Sus scrofa: one gene and its partners. The protein of the gene in region 3 interacts with the protein of the main gene of each other region in a pairwise test. Links are inferred from orthologs where the notes say so. Each region holds a gene or a part of one and is shown on either strand. Other genes may lie near its edges.

What was found.
Region 1: the proteins of MS4A12 (region 3) and PLLP interact in binary tests that used the Homo sapiens proteins (3 or more experiments, as listed by UniProt). The two-hybrid records come from large-scale screens. The link is inferred for Sus scrofa from reciprocal best matches to the Homo sapiens genes MS4A12 and PLLP.
Region 2: the proteins of MS4A12 (region 3) and MALL interact in binary tests that used the Homo sapiens proteins (3 or more experiments, as listed by UniProt). The two-hybrid records come from large-scale screens. The link is inferred for Sus scrofa from reciprocal best matches to the Homo sapiens genes MS4A12 and MALL.

Annotation. Positions count from the first base shown.
Region 1 is NC_010448.4:19,220,651-19,224,301, reverse strand, and holds part of PLLP (plasmolipin), read left to right. Parts: intron 1-2,494; coding exon 2,495-2,668; intron 2,669-3,651. UniProt on the Homo sapiens protein: Main component of the myelin sheath that plays an important role in myelin membrane biogenesis and myelination. Plays an essential function in apical endocytosis. Regulates epithelial development through the regulation of apical endocytosis.
Region 2 is NC_010445.4:46,284,673-46,288,323, reverse strand, and holds part of MALL (MAL-like protein), read left to right. Parts: intron 1-1,104; coding exon 1,105-1,272; intron 1,273-3,651.
Region 3 is NC_010444.4:11,176,808-11,180,378, forward strand, and holds the end of MS4A12 (membrane-spanning 4-domains subfamily A member 12), read right to left. Parts: intron 1,321-3,571; coding exon 1,210-1,320; intron 1,024-1,209; coding exon 937-1,023; 3' UTR 599-936; downstream 1-598. UniProt on the Homo sapiens protein: May be involved in signal transduction as a component of a multimeric receptor complex.

The DNA of each region.
Region 1 (3,651 bases), on a different chromosome or scaffold from region 3:
CCCCACAGTGAACCTGCTCCTGGCCCTGCTCTCCTCTCCCCGGGTCTCCCACGCCCACCCCTGGGTGGAGGAAAGCGGGGCCAGGAGTGGGTTCACCGATTCACACCTGCGTCCTCCTGTAACACAGCACCTGCAGGGCCAGTGTCTGACTTCTGTTTCCTGGGTGAGCAAACAGGCTGGTCAGCCCCGAGCAGGTACTGTGTGCTAGGCACTGCTGGGCACTGGAGATACAGCAAGGGCCAAAACAAGATTCTTCGGGCGCCTGTGTTCTAGCGGGTGGCCTAGAGTTGCCCTGGGGGAGCTGCACAGAGGGGGCCGGCCCTTGGCCTGGCATCCCTCCAGCTGGATGAAAGCCCAGCTCCTGACTGCCAAGCCCAGGGCTCCAGCTCTCACTTCCTGGCGGTGCTGGGGAAGGAGAAGTGGCCACACCCTCCCCCTCTGTTGTGAGGGAGGGGCTGGTGGGGGAGCCAGTAGGCTCCCCGCCTCAGCTAAGGGTCTTTCCTGCCTGACCCCACACGTGTAGGGGAGCGATGCAGAAACCTCCCTTTGGCCCTTGCTTGGGGTGCTTGGGCAGGTGCCTCGCAGGCGCCCAGCTCTGGCTGCTCTGGGGGAGCGTCCGACTAGGAGCATCTGGACTAGGAGCTTATGGCTGCAGCGGGGACGATGACTTTTTGTCTCAAAAACTGGCAGCCAGAGGTGGGTTTTGCTCCTGAGCCGATTCTCTGTGATCCAATGGTTGGTTCATCCGTGGGCTGGTGCCACACACCTGGATGGTATCCAGCGGGAAAAGGGGGACAGCTTTCTCTGCGTTTTCATCAGTCAAGGAGCCTTCTCCCAGCGGCCGGCCTGGAGGCCTGCTGCCACCCCGGGGGTTGCAGGGAATGAAGACCCTGGTGGAAAGGGAGGATGCCCTGGCTCAGCCAGCGGCGAGGGGGTAGGAGAGGCCCGGGAGAGGTACCACCTGGCCAGGTTCCCCGTGAAGCTCCTCACGAGGGGGTCAGTCACCCTGCCCTGTGGAATTCCCTGCAGCACAGCGTCCCCGAGGTTGGGGTAGTTCCTTTATGTATGTGAACCACGGGTCCTCACTCAGCCCCATGAGCTAGGTGTGCTCAGTATATTCATTTGACAGCTGACGGGACCAGAGCACGGAGTGATTGCAGGCGTGCCCAATGTCACACAGCTGGTAAGGGGAGCGGGTTTTAAATCAGGTGGAGTCCATGCAGCTAGCAGCTACACACACTGCAGGGTTCTTGGGGCCATGGGGTCACAGGCCCCTTGGCTTCTCTGAGGCCCAGTTTGACCTGTAAGACAGGGATGGTAACACCTGATCAGGGGGCAAGTAAGAGAGTCAGAGAAGGAGTTCCCGTTGTGGCTCAGTGGTAACGAGCCCGACTAGTATCGATGAGGAAGCAGGTTTGATCCCTGGCCTCGATCAGTGGGTTAAGGATCTGGCGTTCGTGTGAGCTGCGGTGTAGGTTGCAGACACGGCTTGGGTCCAAGTTGTAGGCTGACAGCTACGGCTTTGATTCGATCCCTGGCCTGGAAACTCCCATATGCTGCAGGTATGACCCTAAAAAGACAAAAACGAAACAAAAACAAGAGTCAGGGAGCTCCCTTAATGGTGCAACAGAAACAAATCCAACGAGGAGCCATGAGGTTGCTGGTCCAATTCCTGGCCTCGCTCAGTGGGTTAGAGATCTAGCACTGCCGTGAGCTGTAGTGTAGGTTGCAGATGCGGCTCAGATCTGGCGTGGCTGTGGTGTAGACCGGCAGCTGCAGCTCCGATTAGACCCCTAGTCTAAGAACCTCCATATGCCTCAGGTATGGCCCCAAAAGGCAAACAAAACAAAAAAGGGCATCAGAGAAGGTGGGGAGGAGAGGGTTTGGTGGAACGTCAGACGGAGGTCACTGCACTCCTGGGACTCTGTGACTGTGTCCTCTTTTAGGGATGTGCTGGTGACTTCATCTTTCAGCCGCTTTTACTAAGCCCTCGGCTGAGCTCAGGTACCACCTATACTGGGTGCAGACAGACAGCTCTGAGTGACAGTCACTGTCCTTGTCCTCGGAGAGCTGGGCAAGCCTGGGATACCACCTTCTCTGGGGCTGCAGGGGTCTCACCCTGGAGGCAGCAGAGGTAGAGTAGCTGGCACGGCTGTGTGACTTTCAGTCTGGAGAAGGAAAGAGAATTACAGTTCTGGGCAGTGGGTGCCTCAGGGCCATGTAGCACAGAAGAGGGTTCTGGAACCCAGACTGGAGAAATGGGGAAGGTGCCCTGGGGCACGTGACATCTCATCTGCGAGCTGAGAGAGGGGTACGTTACCAGGCAGGGGCTTGGTCTATAGTGGTATGCAGTAGGAGCCAAATGTGTATTTCTTGGGTAACCGCATCCAGTTGAGGGTGCCCCATGACCAAGGCCAGGAGGCCTCTGGCCCGGGGCCTCCAGCCTGAGTGCTGGGGGCTCTGGGAGACTCTGGCCCCGTCTCGCCCCCTCCAGGTGCTGGGGCTGCTGGTGTGGGCCCTGATCGCCGACACCCCGTACCACCTGTACCCGGCCTATGGCTGGGTGATGTTCGTTGCTGTCTTCCTCTGGCTGGTGACAATCGTCTTCTTCATCCTCTACCTGTTTCAGCTGCACATGAAGCTGTACATGGTGCCCTGGCCGCTGGTGGTGAGTCTGAGTAGGAACCCTGGGGTGGGCGTGGGGGTTCCAGGCTGACCCCTCTGCCTCTGGGCATAGCTGTGACAATGTGACCTTCCCTAAATGAAGAGTGGCAGGCAGGGGAGGGAGGATTGATGGTTTGAGTGCCCAGTTTTTCTGAGCACTGACAGCCGTGGATCCAGGAGGACACAGGTTTGACTTTCTCTAACGAAGGGAACGGAAATGAGGGACTGTTGAATGCAGACTGGAGGCTGGTGCGATCTCGAAAAGTATTCTTCCTTTGCGGGGGCAGTTGGGATTTGAACCTGTGTGGTAGTGGGTCTGTCTGACTCTGGCTGAGCCCAGATGGGCAGCCCTGGGCCTGGAGGCTGGTCAGAGCTGGCAGGAATCACCAAGGCTGGGTCTGTGTGTGCAGGACGGGCTGGGCGCAGCGTGCTGTTCCCCCACCCTCTAAGCCTATAGGTGAGGCCCCTGCAACCTGGGAGAGGGTGGCGCCCCGGGTTTGCCCAGGTCAGTTCCCTGAGGACACAGAGCTGAGAGCGTCCATAGGAAGTACCCTGGCCAGACACACAAAACTGCTGGGGCTTTTTTCTCCAACCCGGAAAACCCCTGCAGCTGGGGCCTGAGCTCTCTGCGAGCAGAGGGCACGTGATTGGAAGATAAGCAAGGCTGGGACTAGGCAGCATTGTTTGGAATTCAATGACTTTTGAAGCTGAGGAAACGTGAGTCATCCTTAAGACAGAACGGGTTTGTTAGATCTTGACATCACTGGCAGGAGCCAGGTGCTATTCGCGCCGGGTGCTGGGCTTGGAGCGAAGATCCTGGGGTGAGGAGGGGGGACGCCTGATTTCCTGGCCAGGGTCCAGCCCCTGCCTCATGTCCTAGGAGCCTTGAAGAAAGGCAGCCCCGGAGATGGAGGGGCCTTGGTGTCTCTTAGCACAGCTTTGAGGCTCAAGCCGCAGCTCCTGATGGGAGCAGGCTTCTTTCCCAGG
Region 2 (3,651 bases), on a different chromosome or scaffold from region 3:
CCCAACTAGGATCCATGAGGATGAGGGTTTGATCCCTGGCCTTGCTCAGTGGGTTAGGGATCCGGTGTTGCTGTGGGCTGTGGTGTAGGTCGCAGATGCGGTTTGGATCCCGAGTTGCTATGGCTGGGGTGTAGGCCAGCAGCTACAGCTCCTATTCGACCCTTAGCTTGGGAACTTCCATATGCCTCAGGAACAGCCCTAAAATAGCAAAAACAAAAAACAAAAAAATAAAAAAACAAAAACCACCTGGTGCTCCTGGGCATGTGACCCTCCCCTCCAGGCCTCTAACTGAGGTGCTCTCTGGTGGACATTTAGTTGCTCCTCTGGACTCACCAGCATGGCTACAAGCCTAGCCCCAAAGCAAACAAATGCAGAGCCCAGAGACAACAGGAAAAAGGTTGGGTTTCTCCACCAAGGGAATAATAAATGGCTGCACAGAGTTGAGAGGTGATGAAACTGAAGCTGTACTGCCCAACTGGTAACTGACTCCAGGGCATCAGTTACCAGGAAGCTCCAAACCAAAAGTCCACAGGGCCAGACAGACACTGTCTGTGGGTGAAGGGAGGCAGAAGGAGCCACAGTGAAAGTGAGCACCAGGGAATGGGCCACGCAATGGCATTGGCATTGGGAAAGTTGGGGATATGGTCCACTGAGAACTCCAGGTCCTCTTCAAAGAGAGAGTCACAACTGCCTTCAGACTACTCTGGCCTTGGAAATGGGTTCTCTGTGGCCAGGATTATAAAGTTCCCAAGACATGTCTGAAATCTGGATTTTTCCTGTGAAATATCCTGTTTCAAATGTTGGAAACTTATTGAGAAATGTTTTTAAAACTTTATATGCCAAAGCTACTTGGGCCAAGGAGACACACATCCCCAGGCCACATTTAGCCAAGCCCTTCCATTGGCACCCTCTGTGTCGACCACTTGAATTTCCTAACAAAATTTACTCTGACTTCGAAGGCCAGCCTTCCTTCCCCATTTCCCTCTTGATTCCCACCTAACTCCGTGTGAAGAATGTTTAACCAGGGCCGGAGGACAACCTGCAAAGGGAAACGTACCCCACACCAGCCAATGAAGCCCCTTCGCCTGTGCTTTTCTCTTACAGGTATTTGGGTTCTGGGTCTGGATCCTGGTAGCCGCCACCCAGGTAGCAAATCCGCTGCTGCAAGGATGGGTGATGTACGTCTCGCTCACCTCATTCCTCATCTCCCTGATGTTCCTGTTGTCTTATGTGTTTGGATTTTACAAAAGATACGAGTCCTGGAAAATCCTGGTAAGAACCAGTGAGAGTGAGCCAGTCCCTGGGACGCCTCCCAAACTCCAGTCCTGGGTGTGCTGAGGACAGTGGACCTCCTGGATGGGGAGGGGGAAGCTGGGACCTTTCCTGGGCTGGACCCTCTCTACCCTGGCTTTTATTTGGATGCGTTTACTACCAGATGAGAAGGAGAGCCTTCCTCTGCCAGCATCCATCCTTTATGGCATTCCACTGCCTTGCTTGTGAGGGATATATGCATCCTGGCTACTCCTGGATCAAACACATCCTGAAACATTTCCCTCTAAATTTAGTTTATGATAAAATCACTGGAGCAGCATTGAAGAAAATGCTAGCAGAAAAAGAATCACCCCAGTCTCAAGGTCCTATCGCAATTGCTGGGTTCCATACTCCTGGCACATTTTTTGCAATATGTAAATATAATCACACTGAACCAATAATTTTGTTTCTTTTTTTCTTTTTTTTCTTTCTTTCTTTTTTTTTTTTTTCTTTTTAGGGCATATGGAGGTTCCCAGGCTAGGGGTCAACTCAGAGTTACAGCTGCTGGCCTACACCATAGCCACAATTGTGTTAATTTCTACTGAACAACAAAATAATTCTTTTTTAATATTCTTTTTTAATGTTATCATCCACATGGTTTATCATATGACACTGAAAATAGTTTCCTGTGCTAAACAGTAGGACCTTATTGTACACCATTTCTATATGTAATAATTTGCATCTACTAACCCCAAACTTCCATGCCCTCCCTCCCCCATCCCTCTCCCTCTTGGCAACCACAAGTCTGTTCTTGTCCATGAGTCTGTTTCTTTTTCTTATTGGGAACCTATAATTTTGGATGTAGATTCTTTGATTTTATATTGTCATTAAGTTTTTTCATGTCACCACATCATCTTGATACCCACTGAAAAATTTTCTATATTGAACAACTCAAAATGGAGGGAGGATTACATTACGGCCCCTCATAATCACAAACCAGATTCCAGTATTTTTAAGTTTTATTACACTTGCTTCACCCAGCCCTTTTTTCCCCTGAAGAATTTTATTTATTTCTTTATTTATTTTTGTCTTTTTAAGCCCGCACCCACAGCATATGGAGATTCCTAGGCTAGGGGTCGAATCAGAGCTGTAGCCACTGGCCTATGCCACAGCCACAGCCACAGCAATGCCAGATCCAAGCTGCATCTGTCACCTACACCACAGCTCACGGCAATGCCAGATCTTAACCCACTGAGCGAGGCCAGGGATCAAACCCACGTCCTCATGGATATTAGTCAGGTTCATTAATCAATGAGCCACAATGGGAACCCTTCCCCTGAAGAATTTTAAAGCAACCCCCATACATCACATCATTCCATTCTACACACATCAGCATACCTCCAAAAAAATACATTAACTTTCTTACATTATTGCACTTACATAAAGTTAATTCCCCAGTAGCATCTAAGACCAAGGTCACATTCAAGGTCCTCTGTTTTAACTGAGACATGTTTTTGCACTTGGCCTGTTTCTACACTTGGCCTCAGGTCCTCACGAGACCCGCTTCCACTTGGTAGTGATGGTTCTTGGGTACTTTAATCTAGAATGGCTCTCCCTGCCAGTTACTTGCTGAAGAAATGGGGTGGTCAGCTGTCCTGTAGAGGGGCTTACATTTGGGAGTTTATCTGTTTGCTTCTTCCTGGTGGGATCTGACTTGCTCCTCTCATGCCTGAGTTTTCTGTAAACTGAAAGTTAGCACTTAAAAGGCCAAAGTGAAGATAGGTTAAGTTTTTCTGGCAAGAATGTTTTGTAAATGGCTTTAAGTCACATCACACACCGTTACTTGTGGTCCCTCTTCCAGTGACAGCCCTACCCCATCAATTTTTTCTCTAATGCTGTCTTCCATCTACTGAGGATCTTTCTGAAAGTGAATGAATATGTCTTCAGGGGTTGCAAAATGCCGATTGGCCTATTATGATGTTCCTTCCAGAACTGATTGTATGACATTTTTGTGGCATTGAAGATATTAGCACAGAGGTTCAAAAATTGAAGTCTAGAGTCGGATTAGCCTACTCTAGCACTTGTCAGCTAATCCTCTCTTTCCTCATCGTAAACTGGGGCTATCAGTCGTAGCAGCCATATGAAATTAGCTGTGAAAATAAAATGACACAACATGTGCACATGGTTAGGACAGTACCCAGAACACAGCTGGGCTTCATAACACTAATGGTTGAGAGCACAGGTTTGGTGTTATTAATGTCACTTGGATTCAAATTCTGGCTCAGGTTTAATCACTGACCTCAACTTTGAAACTTCTTTTTCCTCAAAATGGCGCTAATGATCAATAGTACCTACCTCCTAGTTGTCAAGGTTAAATGAGATAAATGGGGGAAGGGCTTA
Region 3 (3,571 bases):
AGGTGGGTACTCTTTAGTTCCTAGACCCTCGGGCCCCAGAGTCACATCTTCGTTTTTGTTTAGCTGTTCTGCTGAGCTTTGTTGTGAGGGACACAGCCTTGCTGATCACTGGAATTGCTGGCCAGTGGGATCTAGGCATGGCCCCTATGAAGGGCAGTTGGGTATTTGCTTTCTGGACAGAAATGGGAAGGGGGAGGAGTAAGGGAATTCTAATGACTTGGGCACCCTGTAAATCATTATCAAAGAAATTTTGTCAGTCTGTTTTGCAGTATTTTGTCAGATCTACTGCTTTAAAACCAATCTCAAACAAAAAGAATTTCTTAAAAAAAAAGAAATACAAGGCTCGGAGTTCCCATCTTGGCTCGGTGGAAAAGAATCTGACTAGCATCCATGAGGATGCAGGTTCAATCTCTGGCCTTGCTCAGTAGGTTAAGGATCTGGCGTTGCTGTGAGCTGTGGTGTAGGCTGAAGATGCGGCTCAGATCCCACATTGCTATAGCTGTGGCATAGGCCAGCAGCTGCAGCTCTGATTCCACCCCTAGCCTGGGAACCACCATATGCTGTGGGTGCGGCCCTAGAAAGACAAAACAAAACAAGGTTTATGCTCCTAGTAACATTTTATTGAGGGAAGGGTAACTTTAACAGGAAATTTTCTAACTTTAAGAGAGTTGCAGAGTCATTTCCAGTCCTCCAGCCCTTCACCTTTGCCAGCACGTGGTAGTGGCATGTAGGAAGAAACACTGGTAGAGAGGTCCATAGAGTTTTCATTCATGACAAACCAAGAACAGAACCTGAAACACAGTCTTTAAAGATTAGCAATCATTGTGAACGGCGAAGACCAACTTCTTAAGAAGTTTCTGCAGAGCGGTTCTACCCCCATGAAATTGCAGGATGCTTCTTCTTCTTTTAATACCTACTGGTATTAGGTGGTGTGAGCTAAGTGGCCGGAACTGGGGGAGGAACTGAGGACAATCCTGTCGTCAAGGGACTGTTTGCATACACAGGTGGAATAACCAGGACAGACTGGAAAGAATGAATAAATCAAGTAATATTGTTACTACAATCCTACGCAGAACCCCCACCCTGGTCCTATCAGAGTTGAGGACAAAGAGCCCTCTGATAAGCCCTCAGTGGGACTTAGCTGATGCTGCAGTCTGTATTTCTCCAGCACATACTCAGACTATTTTACAGAGAAGCGGCCCAACTCACCCCACTGGTGTTGGTGATGGTGTGGCTGGCAAAATAGGCTGTGACACAAGTTATGCAGAACTCCAAGAGAGAGAAGATAATCAGCATGGCTGAAATGCCTTTTCCAGAAAGCTGAAATTGGAAATAAACACACTGAAATTTTAACTCATCAGGAGGGTCTCACCCAGGCTTCCAAGTGTTACTGACTCGTCAAACATGCTCTTGCTTGTAGTTCACTTGCTCCAGGATTATTTCTCCACTGTTTCACACATTTATTTCAGGGGAATGTGAATTAATTTTGGAATTTCTTTAAAATGTCAGAAGACCTTCCTTTTTGCCAGTGGACTGTTTTATTTAGAAACATTGGAAAGGAAGTAGATTTTTTTTTCTTTGCAGTGGCTTTCTTTTTTCTTTTTAAATAAAATCTTATCTGCTTTTTTTTTTTTTTTTAAATCAAGCAATATAGAACACAACCCATCCTTCCAAATGCCCCTGTCCGGAAATGAGCAAAATTAACATCTCAGGCCTGTTATTCTCAAACTCTATGTATGGGCAAAAGGGGAATAGAAAAATGGATGCATGGAGTGACAACAAGAGAGGAAAAATGAGAGTAAGAGAGGGTGAGAGAATGAGCAACAGAGGCAACCTCACTCTTTAAGAATAGAATCATTTTGTACTTCCTGTTTTGAAGTAAAAGTATTACTTGATTTTAACAGAATAAAAAGAAGTTAAGTCAAATTAAGTTTATAAAATCCATGAAGAATCAACATCATTTTAAACCTACAAGTTTTAATTTGAGGCAGTAGTAGACTGGTGGGAATGTAAATTGGTACAACCAATATGGAGAACAGTCTGGAGGTTCCTTAAAAAACTACAAATAGAGTTACCATATAATCCAGCAATCCCACTTCTGGTCCTTTATCCAGAGAAAACCGTAATTCAGAAAGATACGTGCACTCCAGTATTCATGGCAGAACTTTTCACAACAGCCGAGACATAGAAGCCATGTGTAATTAGCATTCATGTGTTCTCTCTCATCTTTCCTTTCATCTCTTCATGTCCCAATTTCTGTTCTTTTCACGAATCTCCTTACACACCTTCTCCCTGGCCGTTCTGAATTCTTGATTTAATTTACCTCATTTATGGTTGAATAGTACTGTTTTTTAGCAGCACTGCCCATGTGTGTTATTGTTGTTTACTAGAGTATCTTCTTGTTGCTTTTCTATTGTCACAAGGGTTTTATTGGATTATTCCTTTTTTTTTTTTTTTTTTCGGTCTTTGTAGGGCTGCACCCACTGCATATGGAGGTTCCCAGGCTGGGGGTCTAATTGGAGCTGTAGCCTCCAGCCTACACCACAGCCACAGCAATGCAGGATCCATGCAGCGTCTGCAACCACAGCTCACTGCCACGCTGGATCCTTAACCCACTGAGGGCGGCCAGGAATTGAACCTGCAACCTAACCTCATGGTTACTAGTTGGGTTTGTTAACCTGAGCCACGATGGAAACTCTTATTGGATTATTCTTTTTTTTTTTTTTTTTGTCTTTTGTCTTTTGCCTTTTTTGTTGTTGTTGTTGTTGTTGCTATTTCTTGGGCCGCTCCCGCGGCATATGGAGGTTCCCAGGCTAGGGGTCTAATCGGAGCTGTAGCCACAGGCCTACGCCAGAGCCACAGCAACGCGGGATCCGAGCCGCGTCTGCAACCTACACCACAGCTCACGGCAACGCCGGATCGTTAACCCACTGAGCAAGGGCAGGGACCGAACCCGCAACCTCATGGTTCCTAGTCGGATTCGTTAACCACTGTGCCACGACGGGAACTCCGGATTATTCTTGAATCACATTTTCTCCTCATCTAATCTTTACAGACATTTCTCCATAATTTTCTGTCATCAAATGTTGCCTTAGTAGAGACTGAGTCAAGTAGATTTTTTTTCCTGTTTGTAAGTAATTTGATTTTTCTACCTAAACCCTCAAAGAATCCTTTTCTATACTTTATGCTTTAACAAGGATACATAATGTACATACATATATATCAATATGCATCAGTATCTATAGCTCACTTATTTTGCATTTCTTTCTCCTAGTGTAAGTTATTCTCATTTAGCCTACAAATTCAGTTATTATTTCATTTTGGGGAATTTTTTCCAGTATTTCTGAATACTCTTTTGTTTTTGCTTTTAGGGTCATACCCACGGCATGTGGAGGTTCCCAGGCTAGGGGTCAAATAGGAGCTGTAGCTGCCATCCATGCGCCACAGCCACAGCAACACAGGATCTGAGCCACGTCTGTGACCTACACCACAGCTCGCGGTAATGCTGGATCCTCAACCCACTAAGTGAGGCCAGGGATCGAACCTGTGTCCTCGTGGATGCCAGTTGGAT